Linked DNA regions of Nothobranchius furzeri. The protein of the gene in region 1 interacts with the protein of each later gene in a pairwise test. Links are inferred from orthologs where the notes say so. Each region holds a gene or a part of one and is shown in the gene's direction. Other genes may lie near its edges. The genes, in order: daxx, park7, tcf7l2 and ets1.

The links.
Region 2: the proteins of daxx (region 1) and park7 interact in binary tests that used the Homo sapiens proteins (3 or more experiments, as listed by UniProt). The link is inferred for Nothobranchius furzeri from reciprocal best matches to the Homo sapiens genes DAXX and PARK7.
Region 3: the proteins of daxx (region 1) and tcf7l2 interact in binary tests that used the Homo sapiens proteins (3 or more experiments, as listed by UniProt). The link is inferred for Nothobranchius furzeri from reciprocal best matches to the Homo sapiens genes DAXX and TCF7L2.
Region 4: the proteins of daxx (region 1) and ets1 interact in binary tests that used the Homo sapiens proteins (3 or more experiments, as listed by UniProt). The link is inferred for Nothobranchius furzeri from reciprocal best matches to the Homo sapiens genes DAXX and ETS1.

The regions. Positions count from the first base shown.
Region 1 is NC_091759.1:22,796,323-22,804,707, forward strand, and holds the start of daxx (death domain-associated protein 6), read left to right. Parts: upstream 1-2,572; 5' UTR 2,573-2,712; intron 2,713-4,642; 5' UTR 4,643-4,660; coding exon 4,661-4,885; intron 4,886-5,075; coding exon 5,076-5,498; intron 5,499-5,636; coding exon 5,637-5,768; intron 5,769-5,854; coding exon 5,855-5,971; intron 5,972-6,047; coding exon 6,048-6,279; intron 6,280-6,371; coding exon 6,372-6,541; intron 6,542-6,708; coding exon 6,709-6,841; intron 6,842-7,280; coding exon 7,281-7,797; intron 7,798-8,385. Other genes in the region: tapbp.1 (TAP binding protein (tapasin), tandem duplicate 1), read left to right, coding at 200-301, 428-456, 538-549. UniProt on the Homo sapiens protein: Transcription corepressor known to repress transcriptional potential of several sumoylated transcription factors. Down-regulates basal and activated transcription.
Region 2 is NC_091743.1:63,719,743-63,727,184, reverse strand, and holds the end of park7 (Parkinson disease protein 7 homolog), read left to right. Parts: intron 1-376; coding exon 377-446; intron 447-3,494; coding exon 3,495-3,581; intron 3,582-3,919; coding exon 3,920-4,080; 3' UTR 4,081-4,359; downstream 4,360-7,442. UniProt on the Homo sapiens protein: Multifunctional protein with controversial molecular function which plays an important role in cell protection against oxidative stress and cell death acting as oxidative stress sensor and redox-sensitive chaperone and protease.
Region 3 is NC_091756.1:39,556,433-39,565,165, reverse strand, and holds the start of tcf7l2 (transcription factor 7-like 2), read left to right. Parts: upstream 1-4,085; 5' UTR 4,086-4,513; coding exon 4,514-4,702; intron 4,703-4,845; coding exon 4,846-4,912; intron 4,913-5,084; coding exon 5,085-5,209; intron 5,210-8,733. UniProt on the Homo sapiens protein: Participates in the Wnt signaling pathway and modulates MYC expression by binding to its promoter in a sequence-specific manner. Acts as a repressor in the absence of CTNNB1, and as activator in its presence.
Region 4 is NC_091753.1:25,486,486-25,494,434, forward strand, and holds part of ets1 (protein C-ets-1), read left to right. Parts: intron 1-5,895; coding exon 5,896-6,043; intron 6,044-7,949. UniProt on the Homo sapiens protein: Transcription factor. Directly controls the expression of cytokine and chemokine genes in a wide variety of different cellular contexts. May control the differentiation, survival and proliferation of lymphoid cells.

The DNA.
Region 1 (8,385 bases):
GGAAAATATCTTAGATTAACATGGAAATTTTGGTTTTTGAGGGTCTGAAAATAAAAGGGAAAAAGTAAAATTTTTTACAATCGTTTCCTAAAAAGTCAGATATGTTATTCAGGGATTAAATGATTACAGCAGAATCAGTTTTGATGTCTGAATGAATCAGGAAACGAAAGTAATTTAGGCGTTAATCTGTTCCCCTCAGGGTTCAGCTCTCCCTCCATTGAGGACTCTATGGCGATGGTGGGCGTGGCTCTGGTTCTCTACGGACTCATCAAGTTTGTGTCCTGGACCCTTACTGGATCAGGTGGGAATAATATAGATTATTAAATACAGGAATTTAATCCCTTAAGGCTGCAAAAATCATCTTTTAGCTCTTTAAATCCAGTTTTTGTATTTTTGCCTGACTTTTGTGTCCTTTTTTATTATTTAGGCTCAGATAAAACAGATGGACAGGACAAGGTAAGGAGCGTCGGGTTTGAAACTAAAACATCTTCACTTTTTGTTTTAATGTTTATAACTTTTCCCTCTTTTTCCTCACAGAAGCAGAAATAAAGTTAACAGAAGACGACTGGATTTAAGTTTTCCGTGACTTCTCTGCAGCTTTTCAGCTTAAAGCTCGGATAAATATTCTGTTCCTTCAGCCAGCGTGGTGATGAGTCTAAACGTGGATCAGCTGGATTTTTCACTGTTTTGTGTTGCAGATGAATCCGGGAGAATTCCCTGGAATTATCCTGTTTTATGTAAATACCGACGTGACGGTTTCACGTTAAAAGTGACAAAGCTCTTTTATAAATAAAATTATCTTTTATTTAATGATTTTGTTACAAATTGAAAAAACTTCTTAGAAGCTTTTATTAAAGAGCAAGTCACCCCCTACCAGAGCATTGCTCCACTCCCACTTCCTGTTTGAAAAATGCAACAAATGCTGTTGCCTAGCAGACCGAGAGGGCGGAGCCACTAATAAAATACACACACAGGCTCACAATGACATTGTGACATCATATGGTACCAGCTAACATTCTTGGGTACCTCTTAGCCAATAGTGATGGCAGATTTAAATTCAAATGCAGTGCAGAGTTTTTACCTGACAACGGCACAACACTGACGGTTTTAGGCAGAAAATTAAAATTTGAACTAAAATGCACTAAAGTGCAAATTTATTGACTACACGTGTCTGCAGCATGATTAGACACGCATTTATATAGTTTATCAGGGGAAAAAAGTTGATTTGGGGGTGACTTGCTCTTTAAGTTTAAAATAATGTAGTTTTTAATATCATTTTCATTTTAAACATGTTAAAACGATTTAATTATTATTTTTGTTCTGAACTTAATACCAGAAAAAAATATTTATTTGGACAAGAAATCTCAATTTATTGGAGACAGTAAAATTAATTTAAAATTCTCCATAACTTCTAATGAAATGTGACTTTTGTAAGTCTGAAAAGTCTTTTGTGTATAATTCTGCATAGTTATGAGTCAGGGGTTGTGTTGGTGGAAACTTCACTAAAATAAAGACTTTTATGGGGAACAAGCATCTAATTCTGATCTTTGTGAAGAAAAAAAATCCATTTTAGTAGCAATTCACATAGATAGAAGATATGAAATTTGTTTTTTTCAATATGATAAACTTGTGGGATTAGGAATGATCCAATAGGCATATTTGTGATAAATTAGTATTTATGTTAATTATAGGAATTGTGATTGTAGTTTTAATTTTATGTAAATAACTTTAAGTGAGTTTAGAAATTTAAAACACCAATTTAGTTCATCTGATTAAAGATGTTTTACCTCAATAAAACCTTCTAGGAGATGAATTGTGCCAACTAGAAAAGTAAATTCAATAACAAACAAGTACCATTAGAATTAATGGCGCCACTGATATTTAATAATATAAACCAACACTTCTGGAATATTTCAACAAATTAAAAAGCAGTGTAGCCTTTAAAAACACATAAATTAGTTTGTTGTGCATCTCCTGCAGAATTGTTTAAACAGCAGCTGCCTTGTGTCAGAGCCTGACTAGAATGTTTGCATAAATTTAAGGAAGTTTTGCACAAGCTGACACAAATATGTTTGTAGCTGAAAATAAACACCACAGACATTTCAGTTGAGACATTCAGGACTAAAACATTTAATGAGAAAGATGTAATTAAAATTCTGCAGGAAATTCTGCATGAAAAGCAAGTTTTGGTCTCTGTTGTCATCTGCTTTATAATTTGTAGAAATATTCCACTTAAACGCTTGCATTTATTTTAACTTGTAGAAATTCGGCGTGGAAAACAAACTTCTTGGAGACCTCTATCGTCATACATGTTTCCAGCAGGTGGCGGTAAAAAAAAAGTTAACCAGAAAATAAACCAGAGAAAAAGACACATTCCTTTTGTCCAATGACAGAAGGCTTTACTCATCCCAACGTGTCTTTTGACCAACCAGAGTCAACTACGTGCGTCGGAGTTTAGCGGGTCGCGAGTTAACAATTTAGCTAAGTCTAGAAGCTTTTTGTGAGTAAACAGGAAGCCTCATTGGGTTAAAACTAGAATTAAACAATAGTTTATTTTGTTTATTATCCAAAACAAACAGACTAAGACCAATTTTCGTGTTAACCATAAAAATAAACATGATTACTTGTTGCTAATGCTAACATCAGCTAACCAGCTGCGTTGTAACCCGCAAATGTTCTTTATTTTCTCATCGAACTGCTCTTAAACAAGAGGTAAGTGTTTTTGGTATTTGTGGTCAACTGTCTGTAGCTCTTATCTATTTTAACACAAGATCAGAATTATCTCAGGTTTACTGGCGTTTCAGTTTCGTTTCTGTCCTTTAAAGCTAATAATTTCGCGGGAATGTAAGTTAACGTGTTTAACAACATGTGCTTTGATGTTTTAGTTAACAGCGACAGTGTTTTACTATTAAAGCAAAGCACAGAAAAATGTTGTTATTAAAAGCTAATTCTCGTTTCCTAAGAGGTCCTTAATTAGAAATGTTTGTTTCTACTAAAATAATCCCAAATAATCCAATACTTTATAATAAATTATTCTTTAAAGCATTTATGTATTATGATTGGGTTAGGGTGATTATGTTTTAACATCTACATTTAGGCTAAATATGACATCAACATTATTTCTACACACAAACGTTTGAAATCTTTGGAATGTCTAATTTTATTTTAATGTTTTCAAAATGCCTGAGAGTGAAACTGAAATGGACATAATCTACTTTTATGAGACATACAAGTATTTTGTTTTGATGTAATGTTTATGAATATTTAAATCACTACTGTAAGATGCTGGGAAGTTAGAGATACATTAATTGAATTATGACTAAATATAAATATTATTATTAATAATCATAGGGAAAGGGTGGCTTGCCAACTCCGGGTCGGGGGAGAGGTCCTACCTCAAGTGGAGGAGTTTAAGTATCTCGGGGTCTTGTTCACGAGTGAGGGTAGGAGGGATCGGGAGATCGACAGGCGGATTGGTTCGGCATCTGCAGTGATGCGGACGCTGAGCCGATCTGTCGTGGTGAAGAGGGAGCTGAGCCAGAAAGCCAGGCTCTCGATTTACCGGTCGATCTACGTCCCAATCCTCACCTATGGTCATGAGCTTTGGGTAATGACCGAAAGAACGAGATCACGGATACAAGCGGCCGAAATGAGTTTCCTCCGTAGGGTGGCCGGGCTCAGCCTTAGAGATAGGGTGAGGAGCTCGGACATTCGGGAGGGACTCGGAGTAGAACCGCTGCTCCTCCGGATCGAAAGGAGCCAGCTGAGGTGGCTTGGGCATCTGGTCAGGATGTCTCCTGGACGCCTCCCTGGGGAGGTGTTTCAGGCACGTCCTGCTGGCAGGAGACCCCCGGGTCGACCCAGGACACGTTGGAGAGTTTACATCTCTAATCTGGTCCGGGAACGCCTTGGGGTCCTGCCAGAGGAGCTGGTGGAGGCGGCTGGAGAGAGGACGGTCTGGAGCTCCCTAGTTGGGATGCTGCCCTCGCGACCCGGATAAGCGGAGGAAGACGACAACAAATAATCGTTATTTTACTGAATTAAAAACCTTGTAAAAGTTCTGAGATGTTTTATCTGCTCTTTAGTCTGAAGTCTGTTTATAAACCAAAAAACCTTCAGCAAACCTTATTTACACAATTACATAAATATATTTTATTTATCTGTTTATAAATAATTTGAACATTTTCTGAGTCAGAGCTGACAAATCCAGTCTTCTGATCAACACGAGTGAAGTAGATCCTCTATATGTGGCTTGTTGTGAGATGCTGCAGCTGTTGTTGTTGTTTACGTTTTCACTCACATCCCAGAATGCAATGCAAGTCTGATAACAGGAGGGTGTGGGCCTCAAAGCTGCAACCTTTTGAGGCCACCTCCTTCATCGGGTCTCAGAACTACACTTTTGTTTTGCACCCTAAAGAGAGCTGCACCAAGCAAGGAAGCGGACCAGCGTTGAATATAAACAGCCGAAACGTCACACGTTCTCTTAAATATGCTAAAAGGGTTTAAATCACCAGAGATATTAACAAACGACCTCCATACAACTCTAGAGGTTTACAGAGAACTCTGTCACTTCCTAACCGTTATCGATGATAAACTCGCCGCTCTGCTGATCTCCTTCATCTCGTTTGGGTTTTATAAACAGAAACAAGCTGAACTTGGGATGGCGGTGGCTCCTGCCTCATTGGCAGATCAGATCATTGTGCTTGAAGATGATGAACCTGCGTGTTCCTCTGCCACCTCCTCCTCCTCCAAGCGACAAACCAGTAACGTCTCTCCAGCCCGCCGTCAGCAGCAGGCTCCCACACACATCGTCCACTCTCCTTTTGCTTCCAACAGGAAGAGCGTAAACGCTCTGCAGGCAGAGAACCAGAAGCTGTTCAGTGTGGTGAGTTTATATATATATATATATATATATATATATATATATATATATATATGTATATATATATATATATATATATATATATATATATATATATATGTATATATATATATATATATGTATATAGTTTTATTCTCTAACAAAACCAGATTCACCAAACGCTTCATCAGGTTCCTTTCTGCCTTTTCTCCAGTTTTTGGAGCACTGCACGTCTCTCACTAAGGACTGCCCAGAGGTCTTAACCTTCCTCCAGACCAAGCACGCCAAGGCCAGCGCTGAGTTCCTGTCCTCCGTGGAGTTCAGGAACACGCTGGGACGATGTCTGACCCGCGCTCAGGCCAACAGCTCCAAAACATTCGTCTACATTAATGAACTGTGCACCGTGCTCAAGCAGCACAGCGTCAAGAAGAGGCCGGCCCTCAGCCAGGCGGAGCCTTCTGCATCGACGTCGGGTGCCACCCGGTCTGCTCCCGATTCACTCCAGAGTAAAACTAAAGTGGAGGAGGAGGAGGAGGGGAAACCAGCCGCAGAACGAGCCTCGACGTCAGGAGGTCAGGAGGTCAAGGAGGAGAGTGAAGAAGCGCAGCGGAAGGCTAAGAGAGCGTTAAGGAAACAGGTGAGTGTTTATCTCTGAAGGCTTTAATCCTGCTTGTTTGAACTTTTTCTCACTTATTTGCAGTAAAATGAGCCGAAAAGCTGATTTCCTTTCAGCAGAACCCCCCCCCCTTATGGTTTTACTCGCTCTGATTTCCAGATCGCACACCTGGAGAACCTGCTGAAGTCGTACAACGATGAGATCAGCCGGCTGCAGCAGGCCGAGCTGACTTTAGACGACATGGAGACGGAAGACTCCACGTACATCCAGGAGCACAAACTCAAGCGGAAGGTCGGCTGAGCGGCAGATTAAACCCGGAACGTTGCATCTCCGGTGGGACGACGGGTGACTTTTTTTTTTTTAACGTCTGTTTCCAGATGATGAAGATTTACGAGAAGCTGTGTGAGCTGAAGGGCTGCAACACGCTGACGGGGCGAGTGATCGAGCAGAAGATCAAGTTCAACACGACTCGCTTCCCTGAGATCAACCGGAAGGTGAGTTCTTCTCTTTCGGTGTCATTCCAGCGGGTGGATTAGCGTTTACGTAGGATGTGTTCCTGCTTCCTGTCAGATCGAGCGCTTCATCAACAGTCCCGAGGCTCGTAGCAACCCTCCGGATTATCACGACATCCGGCAGCTGGTGGTGCGCGTCAACGAGCGCCACAACCTGTGTTTGAACCGGAAACAGGTGAGTCAGATCGCCCAGGAGGCCTTCAGGGACACGGGCAGCCTCCTGCAGGAGCGGAGACACCTCGACCTCGTCTACAACTTCGGCTCGCGTCTCACCGACGCCTACAAGCCCGGTGAGGCTCCAGCTCCGCGTTCACGCTGAATACTTTCATTCATTCATCCATGTTTGTGCCTAATCCTCTCATCTCTCCTCCTCCGGTGGAAGCTGACGACCCGGCTCTGTCCGACCTGTCTCTGCTGAAGAAGCTACGGTCCAACAGGGAAGTGGCTTTGTCTCGTCTGGATGATGTCATCAAAAAGTACGCCGTGAAACAGGACGACACAGAGGAGCAGGAGAGAATCCGGAGACTGGAGAAAAACGGGAAAGAGAAAGAGGTGAAGGAAAAATCCCGGCGCATCAGCGAGGCGGAATGTTCCCTTCCTGCTGGTCCGGAATGCTGTTTTATATACCTTTTTATCCGAGGATAAAACAGGAAGCATCAAAACAGTTCCAGGAGTTAACATCTGCGCTCCGACTCTACTTCTTTTACTTCCATGATCAGAAACCAGAAGAAGGAAAACAGACGAGTCAGGCGAACGGCGTGGAGGAGGAGGAGGAGGACGAGGAGGAGGATGAATCATCAGACCCTGACATAGAGGAGGAGATCCAGGCCAGCACTCAGCAGGCTGCCGCAGGTCAGATTAAATCTGGGATTAAAACTGTTTGTGAGATTTCTCAGATTTGATGTAAACTCGACTCGGTTCCTGTCATGGATTTATCAATGTGTGTGTGTGTGTGTGTGTGTGTGTGTGTGTGTGTGTGTGTGTGTGTGTGTGTGAGTTCTGGACGAGTGGGCATGCAGAGAGGCACAGAGCGATACATTTACATTCAGTTGGTTGAGTCCATGATCAAGAATTAATAGACATGAATTTTTCCATAACAGTTCCAAACGGGAGATTATAATCTGCTGACCCGTGGAGAGGTCACGACCCGGTGTCGTTAATCCAGATTAGCTCGGTTTAAAGATTAAATCATCAAAATTAGAAGTTCTGACACCAGTAAGAAGCTCCAGTCCAACCAGCACAAACTGGTTTGTTTTTATTTTAATCTTAACTTTACTGATGTTTCCTTTAGATGACGATGAGGAGGAGGAAGAGGAGGAGAATGCTAACGAGGCAGGTCAGTCATGCGAGGACGACAAGGAGGATCAGACGTACGAGCAGACAGGAAGTGCTCCAGCAGGCGGCGATGGAAGCCCGAGGGCTGAGATGGAGCCGCTCACCAGCGAAAGTCCCGTCTCTGAGGAAACACAGATGTCCAGCGTCCCGTCTCCCAGAGACAGCCCCGGCCAATCAGAGCTCGTTCAGTCGGACACTCGGCAGACGTTGTCCAACGGGACAACAGCAAACTTAAAGAAGCTCGCCGCGTCGAATCAGCTGTCGGTGGTGATCATAAAAGAAAACCAGGTGAATAATAAGAAGTTGGCCGTCCCAGCAGCCGTTAACGGGGATCCTTCACCTGAGCGAGGAACACCGAAGACCAGCGAGTCTCCGCCCCCCAGCCCCAGAACCACGAGGAGCCAGAAGAGGAAACGAGAGGAAAACATGGCCGAGACTCCCAGAAACCTGAGACTAAAAATCAGTTACGACAGGTGAGTGGAGCGCTCACACACACACACACACACACACACACACACACACACAAACTCACACACATACACACACACACACATGCACGTGCATGCACCCTCACATGCACACACACGCACTCACACACACACACACACATGCACGTGCATGCACCCACACACACACACACATGCACGTGCATGCACCCACACACACACATGCACGTGCATGCACCCACACACACACACATGCACACACACATACACACACGCACACAAACTCACAAACATACACACACACACACACACACACATGCACCCTCACACGCACACACACGCACTCACACACATACACACACACATACATGCACATGCATGCACCCACACACATACACACACACACATGCACACGCATGCACACACACACACACACACACAAACATATACACACATACACACACATGCACCCTCACACGCATATACACATCCATACACATGCGCATGCACACACACACACATGCACCCTCACACGCACACACACCTACTCACACACATACACACACATACATGCACATGCAAGCACCCACACACATACACACACACACATGCACA
Region 2 (7,442 bases), on another chromosome or scaffold:
GCTCAGTGAGCAGCCACATGGCTCTAGAATTATTTTCATCAGATATGGTTTGCATTTGAAATCGATAGAATAGAAATAAAAACAAGTTTTTAACAACTTTTACTGTAAAGTATTTCCTTATGCTGAGTCGCATTTCTTTTGCTGAGTAGCTTGCAGATCATAATTGTCAAATATTGCATTTTTCTGCTGTAGCCCTTTCTAAAATTGTGATCAGAACATCCATAGCTGAAACATTTGATTTGCAGAAAGCTCTGCATAGCGGATACTTTTAAACACACTGCCTCTTTGTGTTATTACAGAATGGCCAGTGAATATGTATGGAGGGCCACATGGCCGCTAAGTGACTCTGTGTGCATCTGTTTTTCCTTTCTCCCAGTCGCCTGCTGTGAAGGAGGTGCTGAAGGATCAAGACAGCAGAAACGGCCTGATTGCAGCCATCTGTGCAGGTACAGCTTGTGAAAACAATCCAGCCATAATTATACACATTATCTAATAGATTTCCCTCTCTATGGGTTAAATATGGTGTGACCTTAATCTTGACAAGCATGTCTGGGACTAAAGAGATTCAGATTAATTAATTAATGACCACACAACAAGTTGGTGGAATTTGTTTCCTGTGCAGCACGACATGCTCACAACTCTGTGTCTACACCTGACGTAACTAAAAATAAACAGACAGGGACATACAAAAGCTTTAGGCAGTTACTTTATTTGGTGACCGTATAGCTGTTGGGGATAAAACTGTATTTGAATATATGTGATTTTGACTGTAAACACCTGTAGCGTCTTCTAGAAGGCAATAGTGTGAACAGATGATGTGCAGGGTGAGAGGGGTCCGAGGGGATGTTTCCTGCCCTCTGTGTGATGCGTCATGGTACAGCGTGTCAGTGGAAGGTAGGGTATGGCCTATAATTTTAGATGATTTGACTGTTATGTGTTGTTGTTTTTTACGTGAGTTGGAGTCCATATTACCATACGAGACTACTATGGGTGAGGTGAGTATAGTCTGAATGATGGCAGTGTAGAACTGTACAAGGACGTGGTGCATTTGTACATGGTTTGTAAAGGTTGATTGTGCAGTCACTGAGCAAGAAGCATCTGACTACGAATGGGATGGGCAGCCATCCTCTCACGCCTAGTGAATGACACTTTAGGGTGGCCAGTTAATGAATTTTGAAGTGCACAGAGATGGACTTTCTGATTTAAAGCTGCAAAGGCAAATCTGCAAAACAAGCTAGCTTTTAAACACAAAAATGGTCACAGAACACTCACCTCTCCCATCGGCTACTATCCCCTGGCCACGCCCACCTGATATAGGAATCCACGTGCCAGGGGACACGAGAGAGCGCAAAGCACCAGTTACCGTTTTCCAGGTCCAAACGTCTTTTGTTGACTTCAAATGGTGTTTTTCTTTTTGGGACTCTGGTAGATTGTCCTAAAGTTGAAGTGGTAGCAGCCGGCTGTTTCTCCTTCTCTGATATTACTGAGCACCTCTCACACCAGTGACTGGAGGACCCAGGTAAATGCAGAAATGCGGTGGCCCAGTGAGACAAACTACTGGCATCATATACGTATGTAGACGCCTCATAGACTGGCGCTCCCCATAGGAGCTGACGTATTAGCGCAGCTGCCATCTTGGATAGGTTCCTATTTGCCCCCAGTGCATTTATTTCTACTGAGAAAGGTGTTCACCCAACTACAGTAGTCCATTTTGTTAGGGTTTGTAAGAAAACCAGATCTGTGGTGTGACATGATAATAAAAATATAAATGAATTAATTTTATATTTTAATAAAACATATGTTTGAGTGTTCATTTGAATTTATTCCACTCACTTTCTCCCTCACACACACACTGGGGCTGGGGAGCTAAACTTGACAAAAAACTTTGTGGCTGTGCTGTCACGCTGTAACTCGGTAGTTAATATCGCAATGTGGTGCAGCCTTACTTTCTGATATAGAGACAACAAAAGACTTGAGCGTGAAACAATGATTTTCAGTTCAGAAATATTAGCAAATGGAGACAGAAGATGTTCCTCTGACAGTAAGCTGATGGGGCCACTAGCGAGTCACCATAACAGACCATCAGCATACCTGTATGTCTCCCATTAACCTGAGCAACTCCACTGTTTCTAACCCTTTTTCTTGCCTGCTTCCCGTATTAGTAATTTGAAGAAAAATTTCCCATTATGTTCATTCTGAATTAGCCGCAGAAATAAAAATAGATGGGGGAATACTCGGACCAGAAAAAGCCACACAGATTTACGTCATTTTGGAAATTTGCATTCATTAATTCATCCCTTATGGCTGCCGACTGGAAGGCTGTATTGATCTTGCAGCAAAAAAAAGCGGAGTGTGTCTCGGCTTGTTGACGCTAACTATTAGCAAGTACACAACATGTTTGGGCTTGTGTTATTTGTGGAAATAAAACATTAATGTGGCATTTTTACCCAAGAAAGGAGTGAACGGAGGCAGCAGAATAGTCGCAAGGCATTCAAACCATAACTCTTTGTCACCTGAGAATTTAATATTGAAAAATACTTCACTCTCTTCTTGCAACACTTTTTAGGTTGAACCCTCCTTGTCATTCTGCGTGAAAGGTTGTGTACTTGATTGTGTCCCTGAGTAAACCCGCACCCTCTGTATTTGACAGCTTTCATAAGCAGAGAAAGGACACATGAAATACAGTTGAAATGGGGTCAGGGAACCAGTGCAGCAAAGCAGATTGAAAGGTGTCCTAGAAACGAGTGAAAACCTCACAGGAATATTCTCTTAAATGGAAACGGCAAGCGTGCTCGCTGCAAGACTCATTGTTCCGACATCTTAACCTGGCACGTTTTCAACTAGATTCCTCAGAACTGCAATCTTGTTCCTCAGTGTTCAAATAGTAAAAACGTGGTATTCGTCTTGTTTTTTCTCCACCGTCTGACTCTTTCGTGTCCCTAACTGGGTGGAGACTCGTAACAGGAGTCGTTTAGCTTTGAATGGCAGTCTGTTGTTCTGCCAGAGGAAAGTGTAATCTTGAGACTGCACTGGAAGGCAGCCAAAGGAGTGTGATCAATAACTTTCTATTTATTAACAGGTTTTGGACGAGCAGTGCGGAGACGTCACCAAAGTTAATTCAGCAGCAATCGTCTGCGTCCTCTGCCTCTCCTTATTTCTTTTCTCTAACGTGTTGCAGATGCTTTAGCAAAAACCTGAAACTGTACACTTTGTGAGTTTATTATTAGAACCAACAATAGGGTTGAGGACACTTTTAGGACACAAGTGTTATCAGATATTTTCTATGTGTCTCATTCATTTATTATTTACTGAAATCCATAATCTAAATATGCAACATTCGGTGGAATTTCATACATCTGTTTTTCTCTGTGCTGAGCTTAAGGAGGAGATACTTCCAGTTAGCAGCCTTTTGTCTTTTTCACTATGAAAAGAAAATGTGTGTTATCTAACAGGAGGTTATAAAAGAAACCTTAATCTGCTTCGCACTTCTTCAGGCCCTACTGCTCTCCTGGCCCATGGCGTCGGCTACGGCCGCACAGTAACCACACATCCTGCCATGAAGGAGAAGATGATGGCTGGAGGTAAAAATCAATAAATATTAGAGCATCTTTTAAATAAACTATTACAGCTATCAGTGGGAGAGTTTGTAAGTGTTGGTGAAAAGCAGCAGATGGTGCTGTAATAGCTTTTAGTTGCCTTCGGAGAATCATGTCAGCAGCAGTTGGAGAGCACCGCCCGCCGCTCTGAGGTGAGAGTGGGTGCAGGATTTTGACAGAACGTGTAAGAACCAGGTCTATTTAAATGTTGACTAGTTATCTTTGTGCGGATGTGTTTGGAGGACTTATTAGATCTGAAATGCGTTGCTGCTAGCTTTTGGATCTCCATCATCCTTATGGTATTGCTCTTTGTCTTTTTTTAGACCACTATAAATATTCAGAGGCTCGAGTGCAGAAGGATGGACATTACATCACCAGCCGTGGGCCAGGAACCAGCTTTGAGTTTGCCCTGGCCATTGTGGAAGAAGTTTTGGGGGGTGACTTTGCAGCTCAAGTCAAAGCTCCTCTTATTATGAAAGACTAATTTATTTACAACTGTGCTAAAAGCACTGCCTGATTAACAAAAAACCCACAATACCCGAGTCAGGTCTTCTGCCACTGGACATGAAAGTGAAACATTTTCTTAACTAGACATGAGGATTTCTTTTCTAACATGTTTTGTTTTAAAATGTCAAATGCACCTTATTACAGTAAGATGGGTACTAAAGGAAAATCTGAAATAAAACAACTATTTTCACGAATTACTTGATTGTTTTGACCGCTACTGTTGTGCCACCTGAAAATAAAGCAATCTGAAGTTGCAGGTCATTGTTTTTATTTCACCTAAATATAGGCTGCTGAACAGCAGGAACGCGGGAAGACGAGTCCAGAAAGATTGGCAGCTTTTATGACCAATGAAGAGCTTCGGCTCGTCTGCAGTTGAGTTGTAATTGACCAATTACGTGTCGTGTTAGCCAGTGGGCGGTGTTTGGTAATCAGCGCGTGGTGTGTCCGAAAATCCAGACGGTCCTCATCACAGACAAGAAGAAAGACCAAGAGAAGGGATTTTGTAGAAAGGTAGGACTGTTGGGGTTTCTCTTTTACTCACAGACGTGAATGCGTGGCTTAGTACCCGCACCTCTTTCCCGCATTAGTTATTAGATAAACCTGCTGCCAGTTATTGTTAACGCGGCGGTAGTCACGGTCAAATAAACAAACCACATGGTTCGTCGCACCGCACCAATCTGCATATGTGCGTTGTCATTAGTGGGGGAGTGTTTCCGCAACAGGGCTAGTTTAGCCGAGATTAGCTCGCAGAGTGTCGAGCGTAAAGTTCGCTGCAGTCTCCAACAGACTGGATTGACAGTACCCCGACGAAGAGATTGTTGCCAGTGCAGCGCGCGCGTTGGCCCGCTCACAGATGCGCACACTGCGGTGCAAGTGAGTGGAAGCAGCGGGGCTTTAGATCCGCTGCACATATGTGAGGACACGCGGAGACATCAGCTGCAGAGGGAGCTCTCCATCCTCCCAGTGTCAGCCGCAGTCAGGCTGTCTGGCTGCTGCTAATGCGGTGCGGCAGAGGCCAGGTTAAGTCCTCCACAAAGACATCTAAACACTCACGACCAGTGGAGGAGGTGTAACCTCCAGCCATCATCAAACTGCATGAACAAATCTTCAGCTGACGCTCCGATCTTCACGTTGGCACTCTGAACAAGAACAACCCGTGGTGCCTTTTACAGGAAATGCAAGTTATTTCCTCACTGGTTAGCTGCACATTCAGCAGCAGTCATTATTGTTGCATGCAAGCCAAATAACATGTAAATGGTCATCCCAATTTAAAACTCAAGTGACCTTTTCACCCACCATTGTACAACCAGAGCAGCATTCAGCCCTCTAAAGAGACTAGACTATCACTGTTAAAATCACATCCTATCAAAATCACAAGGGTGCACCTGCCTGAAAAGTTCAGGCTAATTGAGCTTGGGTGCTTTAGATGAGGGTATGTCTGTCAGGTTGGCACATCATCATCATGCATGGCAGCCTGGAGGACTAACATGACCTCTTAAACTGTGGTTGGATGACAATGTATGGCACAATGTCATTAATGTTGTGTTTTTCAGCCGGATATTTCTGGAACATTTACATTTTTGTGCCATTCCACATCACATGTTAGAATTATTCTGCTTGAGCAGCTGTACAGTAAAGAGCTGGAGGCTTGACTCCCTATTTCTGGATGGGGCAGAAGATGGTGGGGTGGGGGAAGGGTGAGGCTGAAGTCTCCCTTCCTGCCTGAGTCACTGGTTTAGCTAATGATGCAATTAGACCACTGCGTTTTGCATCTTCTGATTAGATCCCTTTCTTGCACTGGCCTGCAGACAATAAAGACAGAAATTGCTCAGCTGAGTTCATTTTATTTTTAAATGGGTAATTTGTTACATGTGGACACGTTTTCTACATCATCATAAACAACTACACAGATTTGACAATGGTGTGTACCGTGGAATCTAAAATTACAGATCACATTCAACACAAAATTTAGTAGCTTAAAAAATATAAGTACATACAATTTATATGGTGTCAACATGACACAAAATCATTCAACCAAAGGAGGATGGGCCAGGTTTACTGTTTATTGACTGTGTTTAACAAAAAGATTTCCAAGAAATTTTTTTATGAATTGAGTTCTGTTGCAGAATTTTAACTGGTTTTCTAATCCCCCTTGTGTTCTTCCTGTGTTTCTTTTTAATCTCCATTGTATTTTTTTCTTGCTTAACACACAGCATAGGTAAAAACTTTGCTATGCTCTTTATTAAGCAAGGAAAACAAAAACAATGAAGACTGCTTTTCTTCTTATGTGTATATTTTACTATACTTCTTTGGTACCCCCTCCCAACATCCTATATGTATATAGAGTTTGGCCATGACACACAGAGCTCAGTTGTGGGGCAAAATCTACAGTTGTCTTTCAAACTGTCTCCGCATGCTATTGGACAACAACCAAGTGGCATACTTATCGCTATGGATGTCAATCAACAAGGCAGTTCATCATACTCTGTTGAAGAAGACACAAATACATTCTTTTCTAAATGGAGGAATTAAGTACCTCTGTCTAGTCTTGGCTCAAGGAAAAGCCCAAGTCTAAATGGTCCAAAGTTGATTCCAAAGCCGTTTCAAATGAGCTGCCACCATCTTAGTTGTTCTCTCTCATCGCATCATCCTGCATACCAAACCAATAGAGCGCTGTTCAACCACGGCTGATCCGAAAGTCTTGTCTTAGAAACCTGTAAAAGTGACCGTCTTACCCTCTACTGTGATAAAGTGTAAACAGTATGCCATTTTCCTTTGGCTAAGCCCGCCACCGTCCCATAGAGCCCCATGCAATCTGAATTGAGCGACACTTAGGCTTAGCTAATAGTGTTACTCCTACTTCACACTGGAAGCATCAGCAACTCGGAATGGCACGCGGAACCTCACTGCTTCAAATATAATACATTATAGTCTGTGAGGTGATTCAAACGAGCTGCGATGCAGAGATTTTCAGGCAAGTTCCAGAAGCGGCACGCCGCACAGCTAAATGTAGGATTGGGTTCTACTTTTGCCGCAAGCTACTTCCGGAACAAGTCAGTTTCCGCAGTTAACATAGGGCTAGACAGGAAATCACACACAGTTTCAGTGTAAAATGCTCTATTGCAGTGATGCAATTTCAGATCTATGTGGCTTACGTCTATACGCTTGACCTAATGGCTTATTTTCTCCCTGCATTGTGAAACAGTGTGTTTTTCATGGCATTAATTCTGGCATGGAGAGAAACAACATTATATGACATCAAACAGTAATATCAAACATGAGTTCTTTCTTTTTAGTTTAATGGCAGATGGCACAAACCAACTGTAAACTTTGAAGTCT
Region 3 (8,733 bases), on another chromosome or scaffold:
TTGGTTAAGCATCCAGCAAACAGTGGAGAATGTCTCGGCTAGTAGAAGCTAACTGTTAGCATTAGCAACTCCACCACAAAACAGAACTCCTTCAGGCTTGTGTTATTTGTGGAGATAAAACATCAATGTTGCAGGGCAAATGGAGTCAGTGGGAGAGTTGTGTTGCTGTTATCCAATCAGAGGCGAGATCTCCAAATATCATGAATATTAATGATTAAAACTCTAAATTCCTCCATTGTACGCCCCTTCTCCTTCGTCTTGAGCCTGATTTATACTTCCCTGTCCACGTAGGTGCGGAGACACGCAATGCCACTATGCGTCGGCGCAAGGTTTCTCCAACGGGTTCACAGAGGATGACGGAGACATGCCCAACATTTTAAACATCTGTTGAAAGTGGCGGAGACTGCAAAATTGTGATTGGTAAGGACACCGCTTCCTGTATATTCATCACCAGCCCCGACGTTGCCCTGTTAAAAACTAAAAAGATTTTTAGAGGTAGACCCAGAACAGATTGAAGAGCGCATCGTGGAAAAAGTCAGAAAATATTAATGCTTATTCACCTGTGACTGAAGGAGTACAAAATGTGGAGCAAACGTGGACGGAAATGACTGGAAACATGGGTTTAGAGGTGGCGACCACATGAAGCGGTGGAGGAGAATGAAGGACAAATTTGTCCGCGTTATAAAGTCTCTGAAATATATAAACACATTAGTAAATACACTATTGTAGACCGGATACATGAGTGTTATGGTAGCAGGATACCACAGAACAGCGCTACGCCCTCTGTTGTCCTGGCGGGGAATTGTTTCGCAACACTCCGTTGCTTGAACAGAAGTTTGCATGTAAAAACCTTTCTGACACTCTGTGTGCGTCTCTCTGTTGTGGAGCTCATGGAGAAGTATAAATCAGGTGCAACTTTACTTCCTGAAACAGGAGCTTCAGAGCTTTTTTCCAAGAGAATGACTCACAAGGCGTCCATTCATACCAGAGACCACTGCAGGTTTATTGAAGTAACGAATGAATTGGAGCTTTAAGGGCTAACTTTGAGAGGACAATGTAAAAATATTGACATTTGCACACAAATACAACCACGCATATTAGTCATCTGATTTGTTTTTACTCAAAGAAATTATATACAGCATAAAAACGTGCTTTTCATAATCAGGTAATTCAGATTTCCTTCCCCCTCTGTTGCAAAAATAATGGTGAGGGCCATTAGTATGGATGTAATTACAGCTAACTACAGTATTGTCCCATTGATATAATTTATATTAGCTGCACTGGCTGGCACTGAAATGCCAAAAGATGTTATACTACACAACTCCCAACAATGGAGCAAATCTGCACTCCACTAAAAGCAACTGAGGTTAAATAGTAAGTCCTAATTAGCCGACGAACATGGCTGCAGGAGTGAATCTGCTACTATAAAACAAACAGAGATGTGTGGGGGGAGGAAAATAGGCAGAACATGTCCAGTTGTAAAATGTTAATCAAATAATGAGATTTTCCTGATGGATAATTAACGGTTTAAGAGCGTAGAGATGAATGATGATGTCATTCTCTTGCTATTTGGTTTACTGTGCAGTGATTTTCTTTACTAACTAAAAACACAAAGTCCATCAATGAGTGAAAATAGGTAGAAACACTCTATATGAGTTATATTTAAGTTGGCAGTAGAGTAAATGTTGTTTTTTTATGGCCGATATGTATTGGCAAATTTTGGGCCAATTTTCATGGCCGATGTTTAGACATCTTCTACCTTATTTTCCTGCTAAAATGTCACTAATGACATCAGCTGATGCACAAAACATTTGAAGCTGAATTAGTTTCAGAAAAAAAAGGTAAATATCGGCCGACCAATATATCGGTGTACCCATAATCGTCAGTGCAAAATCCATCCATGTTCATTTACCTGCAGGACTTTAGATTAGTGATTATTTTAATGTTAAACATGCTTGAAGGACATTATGAAAATTATATTTAAAAATCAAATCTGCATCTGCTTTGGTTTTTATAATGTAACAAAAATATTAGTTAAATGTAATAGATAGAAAATAATCTGAGAATATACTATGTTTATAACATTTAATACACAGGTTATGTAGTAAAACAGCTATTTTGGTTTGTTTAGATTTTTTTTGTGTTTCTGCCTCATGCAGGAAACACTATAAAGGTGAAAGGAAAGCCAGGAGGAACAAATATTTTATCTGGACACTTGAGAAGGAGTTGTCTGTGAGGTCACCTATTCAGATTAGGTGTTTATGTTTTGACAGCTTCTAACAGAGGCAGGAATCAGCTGATCAGGCTGGATCAGCATCTTTTCCTCTAGTTTCAGATGCAATGGGGAAGAGTGCAGAAGAGGGGACAATCCTCCCCCACCAGGAGTATGAATAGTACCAGAAGACACCGGGACACAGGGAAGGATCCTACTCCATCATTCAGGGCAGCAGCAGCAAAGCCTATCATCACATTATTAAAGGGTCCTGCAGATTAGAATCACCATCAGGGGCAGGTGTCTCCACGGCATGCGTGATAATGCGCTGCCAGCCCCCACTAAACTCTCAGGAACCTGCTGAGGCGATCCGGAGGTGGCTTGGAGCCCCCTCTGCTTTGGTCTGGTCTGCACGGGGGTCGGGTTTGGAGGGCCCCTGAGCAGCAGGGTGTGTCTTCTTCCATCGGCTCCCTGAACACTGACACACAGGATAAAAAAAACAAAACAAAACTGTAATGGCAACCCTTTCCTCCATGCTCCTCCTGTCTGCATGGGCTGCAGCAAGCAAATGCTGCTTTCACCTCATCCAGATAAAGAGCATCAATGATGGGCACCTGCTTTCATGGAACTGCCTGGTTCTGGGCGTGTTAGGCTCCCAGCACCTTGGTGCTGCACGTAATTCCCTATCAGCGCTTTCTGACAACACTGCTGACAGCAGATACAGAGGAATTAGTGTCATAATATTTGTTTTCACACGCCTTACGCCATGAAGACACGAGACAATATTTTTAATCAACAATTCAGTGACTTGTTTTGATCTTGCTCCTTTTTTCATTTCTGCAAGGCGGTGTCATCTGGATGCTTTAGCTCCGTTTCTTGTTGCCAAAGGTGAATTAATTGATGTTTTTGTGATTGTTGCTCTAGATTGAACCAGATAAGAGAAAACTGATGAGATAGTGTCAGCTGCTGTGATTAAACTGCAGGTTTGTGATGCTTAGGTGTTACATTTAAGATGTTTTTGCATTTTTATTCATCAGGTGTTTTTTTTCTTTATTGCATAGAACATGAGAAAAGTTAATAAGATTTGTTTTTGTCACAACAAATTTAATTAATATAAAATTAATAAAAACAAACCATAAAACCATCTTATATACTTTTTTCCATTTCATGTGCAGCAATTTTATTTCTAGATCACCAAAAACACTCAAATTTTCTGTCTTTTAAAGGTCCATCCAGACTAAAATAAGACAGAGCTGCAGCATCTGAGTCTGCATCCGTCTCTTTGTGTCCAGTAGCCTGGCTGCTGAGGAGGAAAGAGAAGAAGAGGGAAAAATAAAAACAGCTCAGTCTGTGCTGCCTGTGAGGAATTCAGGTTAGTCCCAGAGGACATCACACCTGTCGAGAAAGTAGGATGCAATAACACCCTCCATCCCAAAAAATAGATCTAAGGAAACATTAGCCAACATAATGAAAAATAGATCTAAGGAGCTGACAAAGCAGATGAAATAAGAATCGCTAACAGTTCTGAGTAATGTTGCTTTGATAGGCTCTGAGTATTTAAGCATCTGAATTTGCCAGAAGAATAAAAAAAACACATTTTTATTTAAACATGTAACATTAACTTTATTTAGCTGGGAAGTGTCAGCCAGGAGTAGGAGGGTGAAACAGCCGGAGGAAGCGCCCTCTTTTCCTTTCTTTCTCCCTCCTTCCACCGGGAGACCGCCCATATGTGCGTTTAATCCACATTTGCAAGCATCCTCCTATCTTCCTGCTATTTCACCCTCACTGTCCTGTTCCCAAACTGCCTTTTTCCCTCCTCACATGCCTTTTCTCTGCAGTCGTCCCCCCGCCCCCCCCCCTCTCTCCCTTTCAGTTTTTTTTCTTTCCTCCTATTTATGAAAACGTCACTTCAAGTCCCTCCCTGTTTGAATCTCATTAGTTTCTTGTGTGTTTCTCCCTGTCAATAATCCTGAATCCAGACTCTCTCTATTTCCATCCCTCTCTATCTGTCAATCAGCGCCGCCTTTGAACTGAAAACCACTCCGACCAACTTCAACTCACTCAATCCGGGCGGCTCGGCTCCTTCTCCGGCTTCCTTTTTCTGCCAAGATTCCCCCCTTCTTTTTTTCTTCTTATATAGTTTTCTACCAACCGCCAGAGCTTTGGAAAACGCCAATACAAGACCCCGCGTTTTTCTTTTATATAAAAAAAAACTTAAACTCGGACTACCGAGATCGCCGAGATCAAGGGTTTGAAAGTTTGTGTTGTGCCCCGGTCAGGAGAGCTTTCTGCACGGGAAACATGCCGCAGCTCAACGGCGGTGGAGGGGACGATCTGGGTGCGAACGATGAAATGATTTCCTTCAAAGACGAAGGGGAGCAGGAGGAGAAAATTTCGGAGAACTCCTCGGCAGAAAGGGATTTAGCAGACGTCAAATCTTCTCTCGTAAACGAGTCGGAAACGAATCAGAACAGCTCCTCGGATTCAGAGGTAAGTTTCGGATCGATCCCCGCTGAAGTTAGTCACAAAACAGAGGCCCTTGCATTTCCTAATTTTTAATGAAGAGTTTGGAAGGAGAAGTTCTCCAGCACCCTCGAGTTTAACGCAATCCTTGTGTTTCATTGCATTTCAAGGCGGAAAGACGGCCTCCGCCTAGATCTGAAACTTTCAGAGACAAAACGAGAGAAAGTTTAGAAGAGGGTGAGTTACTTTGGCTTGTTTTCTTCTTTTAACATTACATAAAATGTGCCTGACGGAGAGGGAATCTCCTCTCTAACTCAAATGTAGTTTTCAGGAAATTAAAAACTTTCCATGGCCACTTTAAAAAAGGTTTTCCTCTTTTTTTTCTCCCCCCACCCCCCCGCCATGTTAGCTGCGAAAAGGCAAGATGGAGGGCTGTTCAAGAGCCCACCGTACCCGGGCTATCCATTTATAATGATTCCCGACCTCACAAGCCCCTACCTTCCCAATGGATCACTTTCTCCAACAGCACGAACAGTAAGTTCATTTAATTTTCAGCTGGATTTCTACACACATTCCTCACCCACAGATACACACACACTGTGTCCCCGAGTCGGGGTTTGTTTTGTCACCCAGAAGAGCTGCTGCCGACAAAGCCAAGTTTTCCCAACTGTTCCTGAAGTGGACAGTACGGCGGCACGCGCTCTAAAAAATAAAAACTTTATTAAATGTCTCTCAATCTCAGATTTAGCAATTTTGGAATGAAACACACGGCGATATTCAAATTTTTGTTCTTCCTCTTAATAAAATTTTTGCTGTGCGCCAGTAAAAACCCAGTTAAAATGAATTATTATTATTATTTTTAATTTAATTTAAAAACAACACTGCTGAATAATGCAGTTGATTCGTGCTAGCATAGCCTCATTTAAAATGCCCTTTTTTCTAACACAAGCATGGCTCTGACACAGTAAGCAGTGTAAAACCACACCAATAAAATAAATATGCAAATGAGTCTTTTCTGGGTGATTTGCATGTGACTGAAACGTGAAAGGAAATTTTATGAAAGGTGCACTTGAGTAAGCCCACATTAACTGTTATATTATAACATATATAAAAATATTTTAAAAGTTGTAATTTGTTTATCTGATTGGATTGCGCAGCTCTGCTTTGTTGAGCATGTGTGCCACCCTTTGCTTCCTGGAGGTGTCCACAGCCTTTACCCAACGCATGCTGATCTAAAGCCACATTTCTAAATATTTTCATGTTAGTTATTTAGTCACAATCAGCCATTCTGTAATTATGCACCTCACTGGTCCCACAGGGGGATGGATACCTTAAAGCAGAATCATTTTCTCAACCATGAACCTTTAAAAAACAAACAAACAAAAAACTTGTGTTAAATGACTGCAATTACAAGTCTTTGCTTTAGGAGCTGTCATCTTATTTTACAAGGTTAAGGCGAAGACCAGGCCGTAGGAAATATGACCCACTAACTCAGCTTTGCTTAGCCAGATTTGTTACCTTCTGTGTTTTGTGTGTGTGTGTGAGTGTGTGCGCGCCCTGCATGTGCACACCTTGAAAATGAGCTCACACCTGACACATAATGCCTTCTTTTGTGTTTGACACAATTTCAGCTCTTGACTCAGTCGCCCATGGGCTCACGTGAAATAATTTGATCATTATTTATGAACGTTTTTCGCTGCTATGACCAATATGTTTTTACCACATGAGAAGGTTTTTGCTGTTTTTATTTTATTTCTAATCCTGCCTCTGTCTCTGCATGGTCCGGCCCTGGTTAACGCTGCTGCAGCCGGCTGGTATGTGGTGGGAATTAGTCACTGGTTGTTCTCATCAGCGCTGACACTAACACACGTTCACCACGGCTCTCGTGATTTTAAGTGAAGGACTTCCTTTTCTCAGTAGCAGAGTTTATTGGTTTTTCCTCTTTCTCTGTGTGTGTGTGTGTGTGTGTGTGTGTGTGTGTGTGTGTGTGTGTGCGTGTGTGTGTGTGTGTCCTGTTGCAGGTTTGCACAGCGCTCCTTTTGTTGTGCAGCTCAAATATGTGCATTCTGTCCAAGAGATGCTGCTGATCAGACTGCGTTGCCCTTTAATTTCTGTTTTCACACACAATAAAAAAAAAGAATTATATTTATCTTGCCTTACACCATCTGTAACATTTCCACACCTTGCAGGAAAAATCCGGACTAATTGTGCATATTTGCAGACAAACGTTATCCAGCCGACTCCACCTGAACAAGGTGGATCTGGCTCTCCGTGCTCTTCCTCCTGTCGGCCCCCTGCGTCTGCGGCGCCCTGTGTGTCCAACCATTAGGTCTTTGAAGTCAGCGGTGGCTGTAATATAAATCTATTAAACTTAAAGCTGGTATAAATAATTCACCTGGACATTGATTAGCTGTCTTGCTCTCTAACTTGTCACGTTAGGCTGTGAATATGACTGCCAGTATTATTACGAGAAGACTTCCTCTGTCTTGTCATGGAAGCCTTTGACTCTCGGTGCGTGCTCCCCCCCCCCCCCCCTTTTTTTTTGCTCACCTCTTCTTGCTGAGATATTTTATTCCCATTTTTATACATGTAGGCATTTAATTCAGTTTTTTTGGTGCAGTACATCTGAGTAAAATAGTCATTTTCCAGGTCGTTTAGTCATTTTCATCCTTTAGCTGTCACCACGTCTAATCCTTGCGGGCACCTTAAGCTGTTTGTGTTATTTTTGCGTTTGCACAGCTTGAGAGGGTGGGAGAGAAAAATAATTTCTGCATAGTTTGACCTCTGGGAGTCATAACAGTGAGAATTTGTTTTTCCCATCACCTCAGTCCAAACAGGTCTACAATTTAGCATCATTTAGTAATTTGACATGATGCTGTGCCCCCCCCACACACACACGTGCTGCAGGTTGAATTGGGGAAGCGGCCTGCCAAGTTCACCCTGGTTTTTCATCTCCTCTAACGGTCCTCCTTGTTCCTTTTACTCCCTCTACCCACCCTCCCTTTTCTTTTCTGTGTCTACCTTTTGTTTCCTGCTGTTGCTAACGCGGGGTTTTGGGGGGGGGAGGCGGCGGGTTAACTCCGGAGCGGTAAGGCTAACATCACACCTCAACAGGTCTGAGGACGCAGAGGCCGAGGGGAGGGAGGTGGAGCAGGATCTGGGCGGCCAGCTCTCCTGCGTCGGGGCTGCAGGGCCGTAAATCCACCGGCTTTATTTAGTGCCTCTCAGACTTATGAATGTTAAGATATTTGACGCCACTCCTGGCCCCGTATAACTCTCCAGGCCCGGAGACTTTCTGACAGTGGTTTTGAGTTTCGACGTGTAATTACGAGGAGTTTTTATTCCTTCTTTTTAAAGAACAAGTAGAGGTGGGGCAAACTGGGGAGGTGCTGGGTGAAAATGCAACACCAGTGGAAGGAAGAAAAAAAAGATGCTCCCAGAAGCTGCCGTGATTCTCCTTCCAAGGCTTTGCGTTCTTGAAACAATAGCTTTGGTTCAGCCATGTTGTTGCTGCAGATTTCTGCAAAAACTAAATCCACACACACCGTTTCTCATTAGGACATTACTGTTTTACTTAGCAGGATTCTCTAGTCAGATGCACAAGCGCCTCTTTGTGGTGCACGTGTATTCCAGTGGCCTTATGGGTGAGAAATAAAACCGTTTCTTAGACGTGTCAGTGGCGTGAACGTAACAATAGTGCATCATTTGGATTATGCGTGTTCGGCGGGTGTGAATGGCTTTTTTTTGGCCGGGACAAGATGAAAGATGGTTTTAATGCGGCTTTAAAGGGAAAGGGCCCACACCTTATCAAATTGGCTTTACATGTTAATCGGGCCTAATTGGTGTCCGCAGGGGTTTCCGTGGCACGACGTGGCTGCACACTCCCCCAACCTCCACCCCTCCTCTTTTTACCTCAAGCTGAAAAATGCACTCTGAATATAGTCGGAAGGTTGCGCTTCTTTTGTCTTGCAAATCACTTTTGTTTACAAGACTAAAAAAGTATGGCGGAAGAAGCGGCTCCCGCTCTCCGACTCCCTCCCACCGGTTCCTGCTCTTCC
Region 4 (7,949 bases), on another chromosome or scaffold:
CTGGCGGGGAAGGAGCCGGAGCTTGTGGCAGAGGTTGAGCGGTACCGGCTAGATATAGTCGGACTCACCTCGACACATTGCATTGGCTCTGGAACCCGAGACCTGGAGAGGGGTTGGACACTCTACTTTGCTGAAGTTGCTCCGGGTGAGAGGCGGAGGGCTGGGGTTGGCTTTTTGTTAGCCCCGAGACTCTCTGCCTGTGTGTTGGGGTTTACCCCGGGGGACAAGAGGGTAGCTTCCTTGCGCCTTCGGGTCGGGGAACGGGTCCTGACTGTTGTTTGTGCTTATGGGCCAAATATCAGTTCAGAGTACCCACCCTTTTTGGAGTCCCTGGGACGAGTGCTAGATAGTGCTCCATCAGGGGACTCCATTGTCCTGCTGGGGGACTTCAATGCTCACGTGGGCAATGACAGCTTGACCTGGAGGGGTGTGATTGGGAGGAACGGCCCACCTAATCTGAACTCGAGCGGTGTTTTGTTATTGGACTTCTGTGCAAGCCGCAGTTTGGCCATAACGAACACCATGTTCGAACATAAGGATGCCCACCGGTACACTTGGTACCAGGGCAGCCTAGGTCACAGGTCGATGATAGATTTTGTAGTCGTATCATCTGACCTGTGGCCGTATGTTTTGGACACCCAAGTGAAGAGAGGGGCGGAGCTGTCAACTGATCACCACCTGGTGGTGAGTTGGATCAGATGGCAAGGGAACATGCCGCGTAGACCTGGCAGACCCAAACGCATAGTGAGGGTCTGCTGGGAACGCCTGGCAGAAGAACCTGTCAAGACGGTCTTCAACTCCCACCTCCGGCAGAGCTTTGACCACGTCCCGAGAGCAGTGGGGGACATTGAGTCCGAGTGGGCCTTGTTCCACTCTGCGATTGTCGAGGCGGCTGTTGCTAGCTGTGGTCGTAAGGTGGCCGGTGCCATTCGTGGTGGCAACCCCCGTACCCGCTGGTGGACACCAGAGGTTCGGGGAGCCGTCAGGCTGAAGAAGGAGGCCTACAGGGCGTGGCTGGTCTGTGGGTCTCCGGAGGCAGCAGACAGGTACCGGATAGCCAAGCGGGGTGCAGCAGTGGCAGTTGCCGAGGCAAAATCTCGGGCGTGGGAGGAGTTTGGTGAGGCCATGGAGAAAGACTATCGATCGGCTCCAAAGAGGTTCTGGCAAACTGTCCGGCGCCTCAGGAGAGGAAGGCAGCAACTCGCTCACACTGTTTACAGTGGGGATGGGGAGCTGCTGACGTCAACTGAGGCTATAGTCGGACGGTGGAAGGAATACTTTGAGGAGCTCCTCAATCCCACCAATGTGCATTCCGAGGAGGAACCAGAGCTGGGAAGCCTGGGGATGGACTGTCCGATCTCGGGGGCAGAAGTTGCTGAGGTAGTCAAACAACTACACAGCGGCGGAGCCCCGGGGGCAGATGAGGTTCGTCCTGGGTATCTCAAGGCTATGGATGTTGTAGGGCTGTCGTGGTTGACACGTCTCTACAACATTGCATGGTCATCGGGGGCAGTTCCTAGGGAGTGGCAGACCGGGGTGGTGGTCCCCATCTTTAAGAAGGGTGACCTGAGGGTGTGTTCCAACTATAGGGGGATCACACTCCTCAGCCTCCCTGGAAAGGTCTACGCCAAGGTACTGGAGAGGAGGGTCCGATCGATAGTTGAATCTCAGATAGAGGAGGAGCAATGTGGTTTTCGTCCTGGCCGTGGAACTGTGGACCAGCTCTATACCCTTGCAAGGGTGATGGAGGGGGCATGGGAGTTTGCCCAACCAATCCACATGTGCTTTGTGGATTTGGAGAAGGCTTATGACCGTGTCCCCAGGGGCACCCTGTGGGGGACGCTCCAGGAGTATGGGGTGGGTGGCTTTCTGTTAAGGGCCATTCAGTCCCTTTACCAGAGGAGCTTGAGTTTGGTCCGCATAGCCGGTAGTAAGTCGGACCTGTTCCCAGTGAGGGTTGGACTCCGCCAGGGCTGCCCTTTGTCACCGGTTCTGTTCATCACTTTTATGGACAGAATTTCTAGACGCAGCCGTGGTGTGGAGTGTGTCGAGTTTGGTAGCAGGAGAATCTCGTCTCTGCTTTTTGCGGATGATGTGGTCCTCCTAGCTTCATCCAGCTCTGACCTTCAGCTCTTGCTGGGTAGGTTCGCGGCCGAATGTGAAGCGGCTGGGATGAGGATCAGCACCTCCAAATCTGAGACCATGGTTCTCGACCGGAAAAGGGTGGCTTGCCACCTCCGGGTCGGGGGAGAGGTCCTACCTCAAGTGAAGGAGTTTAAGTATCTCGGGGTCTTGTTCACGAGTGAGGGTAGGAGGGATCGGGAGATCGACAGGCGGATTGGTTCGGCGTCTGCAGTGATGCGGACACTGAGCCGATCTGTCGTGGGGAAGAGGGAGCTGAGCCAGAAAGCCAGGCTCTCGATTTACCGGTCGATCTACGTCCCAATCCTCACCTATGGTCATGAGCTTTGGGTAATGACCGAAAGAACGAGATCGCGGATACAAGCGGCCAAAATGAGTTTCCTCCGTAGGGTGGCCGGGCTCAGCCTTAGAGATAGGGTGAGGAGCTCGGACATTCGGGAGGGACTCGGAGTAGAACCGCTGCTCCTCCGGATCGAAAGGAGCCAGTTGAGGTGGTTTGGGCATCTGGTCAGGATGCCTCCTGGACGCCTCCCCGGGGAGGTGTTTCGGGCATGTCCTGCTGGCAGAAGGCCCCCAGGTCGACCCAGGACACGTTGGAGAGGTTACATCTCCAATCTGGTCCGGGAACGCCTTGGGGTCCTGCCGGAGGAGCTGGTGGACAAGGCCGGGGAGAGGACGGCCTGGAGCTCCCTAATTGGTATGCTGCCCCCGCGACCCGGACCCGGATAAGCGGAGGAAGACGAAGACGAAGACGAAGACGAAAATATAACATTCAGACTGCATGAAGATCTAAGTGGTTGAGTTACTATCTCTGCCTGACCTGACTAAATGCTGCTTCATGGTTCAGAACGTTTTCTCATTTGCAATCCTCCCTAATAATTGATGAAACTCAGCTGATGAGAAGGAAAACTGTCAAGAAACCAGAAAGAAGCCAAACATATAACAGCATAAATTCACTGCATGAGGTTTCTAATCCTATGGAAACTTCCAGAGAGCGTTTAACACTAAGATGTTGACTTTATCTCCATGTCAGGCTTTTGCATTAGTTTACTGTGTCCGAAATGTTACGAGTAGCAAAATAATATATTAATTTATGAGATTAGCTTGGGATGAGGATCAGCACCTCCAAATCTGAGACCATGGTTCTCGACCGGAAAAGGGTGGCTTGCCAACTCCGGGTCGGGGGAGAGGTCCTACCTCAAGTGGAGGAGTTTAAGTATCTCGGGGTCTTGTTCATGAGTGAGGGTAGGAGGGATCGGGAGATCGACAGGCGGATTGGTTCAGCATCTGCAGTGATGCGGGCGCTGAGCCGATCTGTCGTGGTGAAGAGGGAGCTGAGCCAGAAAGCCAGGCTCTCGATTTACCGGCCGATCTACGTCCCAATCCTCACCTATGGTCACGAGCTTTGGGTAATGACCGAAAGAACGAGATTGTGGATACAAGCGGCCGAAATGAGTTTCCTCCGTCAGGTGGCCGGGCTCAGCTTTAGAGATAGGGTGAGGAGCTCGGACTTTCGGGAGGGACTCGGAGTAGAACCGCTGCTCCTCCGGATCAAAAGGAGCCAGTTGAGGTGGTTTGGGCATCTGGTCAGGATGCCTCCTGGACGCCTCCCCGGGGAGGTGTTTCGGGCATGTCCTGCTGGCAGGAGGCCCCCGGGTCAACCCAGGACACGTTGGAGAGGTTACATCTCCAATCTGGTACGAGAACGCCTTGGGGTCCTGCCGGAGGAGCTGGTGGAGGTGGCCGGGGAGAGGACGGTCTGGAGCTTCCTAGTTGGGATGCTGCCCCCGCCACCCGGATCCGGAAAAGCGGAGGAAGACAACAACGATGAGATTAGCTTGATGTACCAAAGACCATTTTCCCTGTTTTCCCTCCTTGTGTGTGCTCAGTATGCTGTTTCAACATTTGGACAGTGAGACACTAGCCAGTGACCATAAGAATGCAGCAATCGGTCCACAGCGCTGTCCACTGCCTCGTCTCTCAGACGTAACCAAACACTTCTGACTGAGTCAGCACTAATTGCTGAATCCTGATAAGTTATAGAGATGCTGCACTTTCCCTCCATGTTTCACTGACATGTGAAGTAGGGAAAAAATAAAGGTTTCTCTCTCTGATTTAATGCTCCAGAGATGGGAATTGTGGCATCAACAAGTCAGACAATTCCCACCTTTAGCTTTTTCAGCAGCAGGAACTGAAAACTGGGAATTTCCATCTTAAACTGAAGCAAGCTGAGTTCCTGCAGTGCAACCGTTTGTGTGAATCTGGAAACGTTAATGCACACAAGCTAAACAAGTAAAAAAAAAAGCTTTAATTAAATAAGTCACAAATCTGATGTAAGTGAAACTAATGGAGAGGATTTTAATGTTACAGAAATATTTATTACATGAGCTGATGAAGGTGATAAAGATCAGATGCAGAAATGATCCTACAGCTGCCAGGAATCACCTCCAAACTGTTGACTGGTTTACACGTTCAGGTTGTTCCACACTCAAACCGATCAGAAGATACGGCGCTGTTTGCTATCTTCATTCTTATAGCTCCACCATGCCTCTCTAACCTTCCCCTCTCGCTGCTCTCCATGCGGATCTCTGCAGAACCCTAAGAGTTGATCTCCCTGATTCTCTCACCACATCAGCCATCCGTGAAGCTGGACAGCTACTGATAAACGCTGCCAAGGCCAAAGTGGCGCTGTGTATCAGATTGGCAGTCACTCATTCTACCAGGCTGATGCACGGATGACACGTGACATTCAAAAAGTCAACTTTGCTCTTGGTGTTTTTATTTTTTATGCTGCTGATAAAACATTAAACAATTTCTGCGTTTGAAGGAAGTTTGCAAAAATCCTGAGATTTATAAAGACTTTGTAGCATTAATGACCAGTCTAACACGCATGCAGCTAAAGGCACAGCAGAGCTGTCACTTCACTAGATTGTTACACAAACGTCAAACACCATCTCCTAATTTTTGTTGACACATGAAAACTAAAATGCTAGAAGAGGCCTAGTGAACGGCCCTTTCCCCCTGCCTCACATCAGATGTTATACCTCTACTCTCAAGCGCTGAGTTCAGATGTTCCTTCACTAGTGCAGCCTTTAGCGGCAACATTTCTGTGATTAGCAGCACAGAGGAAGAGGAAAAGAACCGTACGACGACGCTCATTTAGCTGCAAGGCTTATTTGTGCAGAAAAACAATAAAATCATACAAGTGGTAGTTAAAACCCAAGGTTGTACTCTTTGCCAAATCTGATGAACTGTTTAGTTTATTCATTCGGCAATAAAAGAACTCCCACATTTGATTTTCAAAACTTTTGAAGAGGTTGTTGCATTAAATAACTAAATAAATCAAAAAGCATCTAAAGCTGCACTGCCACACTTTTTATGTCATTTTCAGTCAATGTATTTAAATTGTTTAATGTAAAGCTTGAATTTCTTCCAGAGGTCTTCATTTTGCCCTCCATTCGGGTTTTAGTGGCAACCATTTTTATCTCTGAGTCCCATAAATATAAAGCTGTTCTGTTTCTTCCAGCTAACTCCTGAGATACAAGCTGATGTTTAATGGCCTAAGTGTTCTCGGGTTTTAATTGAAGGAGCTAAAACACGTACATTAGTATGACTCTCACATCTATGGGCCGTGGAAAATTGCTTTTCAACAGCCACCCTATGCAGATAAATCACCCCGCAGTAAAGACGTGCAGAAGCACTTTAACTGTGGAACTTGTGCGCTCCTGCGACTGAACTGCTTTTTCTTTACAGAGACCAGCTGGAGGAGTTGCAGTGGGCCCTGAGACCCACCTCCCAGGTGTGGTTCACCCCCAGCAGCAGTTTTACCCCTCACAGCCCCTTCACCCCCACGACATACCCCTGCAGGAGGTACCGGACGGCCGTGACATGTGTCCTACAGGTAGGAAGGAAACACACTTGAAATCAAACAGGTTGTGGTTTCAATCAAATCATGCAGTAAATAAAAATTTTGAGCATATTTAAGAACACTCTCTCCTTCCAAAGGGTTTTAAACACCAGCAACCAAAAACCCTGGCTGTTACAGCTCTCTGAATGATTTTCTCTGGTTTTTAGATCTGTTTATGCATCACGCTGAATTTATTGTTCTCAGTAAAATGTGCAACTTTCACTGAACTCCATTTCAAAAGATGCTTGAATGAACTTTATGATTTTCGTGGAATTTCCTCCAAACTTCCGCCTTGGCATCAGTCATCATCCTAATTTAGGCCCTGAAGTCAAATTTGTTGCTTCATGTTGTTGTCTGTGTTATTAAACTGGGTCCCCATGTAGGTGAACAGATTTATCTTCTAAAATAACACACACACACACACACACACACACACACACACACATGCATGCACATACACACACACACATGCATGCGCATACACATACACACACACATGCATGCACATACACACACACACACACACACACACATGCATGCGCATACACATACACACACGCATGCATGCACATACACACACACACACACAAACACACACACACACACACACACACACACACACACACACACACACACACACACACACACACACACACACACACACACACACACACACACACACAGTACTTGCCTGCACTGTTATTTCTGGAGCTGCTGCTGATGCTGACCCTGAGGCCAATGCCTTTACCAGATATCACTCCCCCAGTCCCTCCAGTTCCATTCTCCCTCCTCCCAGTGTGTTTCTGGGGACAACTGAATACCCTGAATTCCTCTGCCTCCTGCTCTCTGGTTCTAGTTTTTATTTCATTGTTTTCTCATATTAGTTTTTTTTCTCTGTATTTAAAGCTGGAACATTCTTTCCAGTGCATTTGCCTTGCACGCGTTTGACTCTGGCCTTCTTTAGTTGACAAGAGTGATTGATGCTGGAGGACTGGGATGCATGCCAAGGAAGGAGGGTGGGGGAGTGCTGGGGGACACAAGCTTTCTTCCGTCACCTCCCTGAGCTGGATGCAGGGGGCAAGACAGAAGGGGCCAAAGGGCGGCCATCTTTTTCCCAAGCCTCTTGGTCTCAGGAGAGGTGGTGGTGGTGGTGAAGGGAGGGGGGTGGAAGCAAAGTGAGCATATTTGTGAGTTGCATGAGAGGGAGTTTGGATTTGATGGGATTTGCTGATGTTTGTTGCCAGAGACACACACTCCTCTCTGGCCCTTGCTTCATTCCTCCCAGCTCTAAACTGTTGACGCAAACGCTGATGCTGGGTGGAAAAAAATGACCGAGCCCTGACCCGATGTGTTTTCTTTTTCTTGTTTGCATCTCTAATCCAAGCAGAACACATTTCAGCTTTTTTAGACACCTGGAGACGTTAGAGTCATTTGCATCTTGCCATAGAGAGTTGCTGAGGTTTCTGTGCTAGGAGCGTAGGTTGTTATGAGTTGCTGCAAACCTCAAAAAGCAGCAGAAAAACCCTCTGACACACTCTCTGCGCCCGGAGTCGTTGGGCCGACTCATTTCTCTCAAACTGAACACGGTTTCTCACTAAACTGAGGGTTGGATCCTTTGATGTTTGACTCTTTATCTCAACGGTTGCTTGATTACTTTTTGAACAACCTCAGTTTGGAGAAATTTAGATCTTCTTAAAACAACTCCAGCCCCCAAATTGTCACACTGGTTCTTAAACCGCCATATGCAGGTGAAACTGGAAAAATCAGATTAAGGTGCAAAAGTTAATTTATTTCAGTAGTTCAAATTTAATAATTGAGGCAGACTCGTTACACACAAAGCCAGATATTGAACCCTTTAATTCAAGATTCAAGATCATTTTACTATCATTGCACAGGTGTG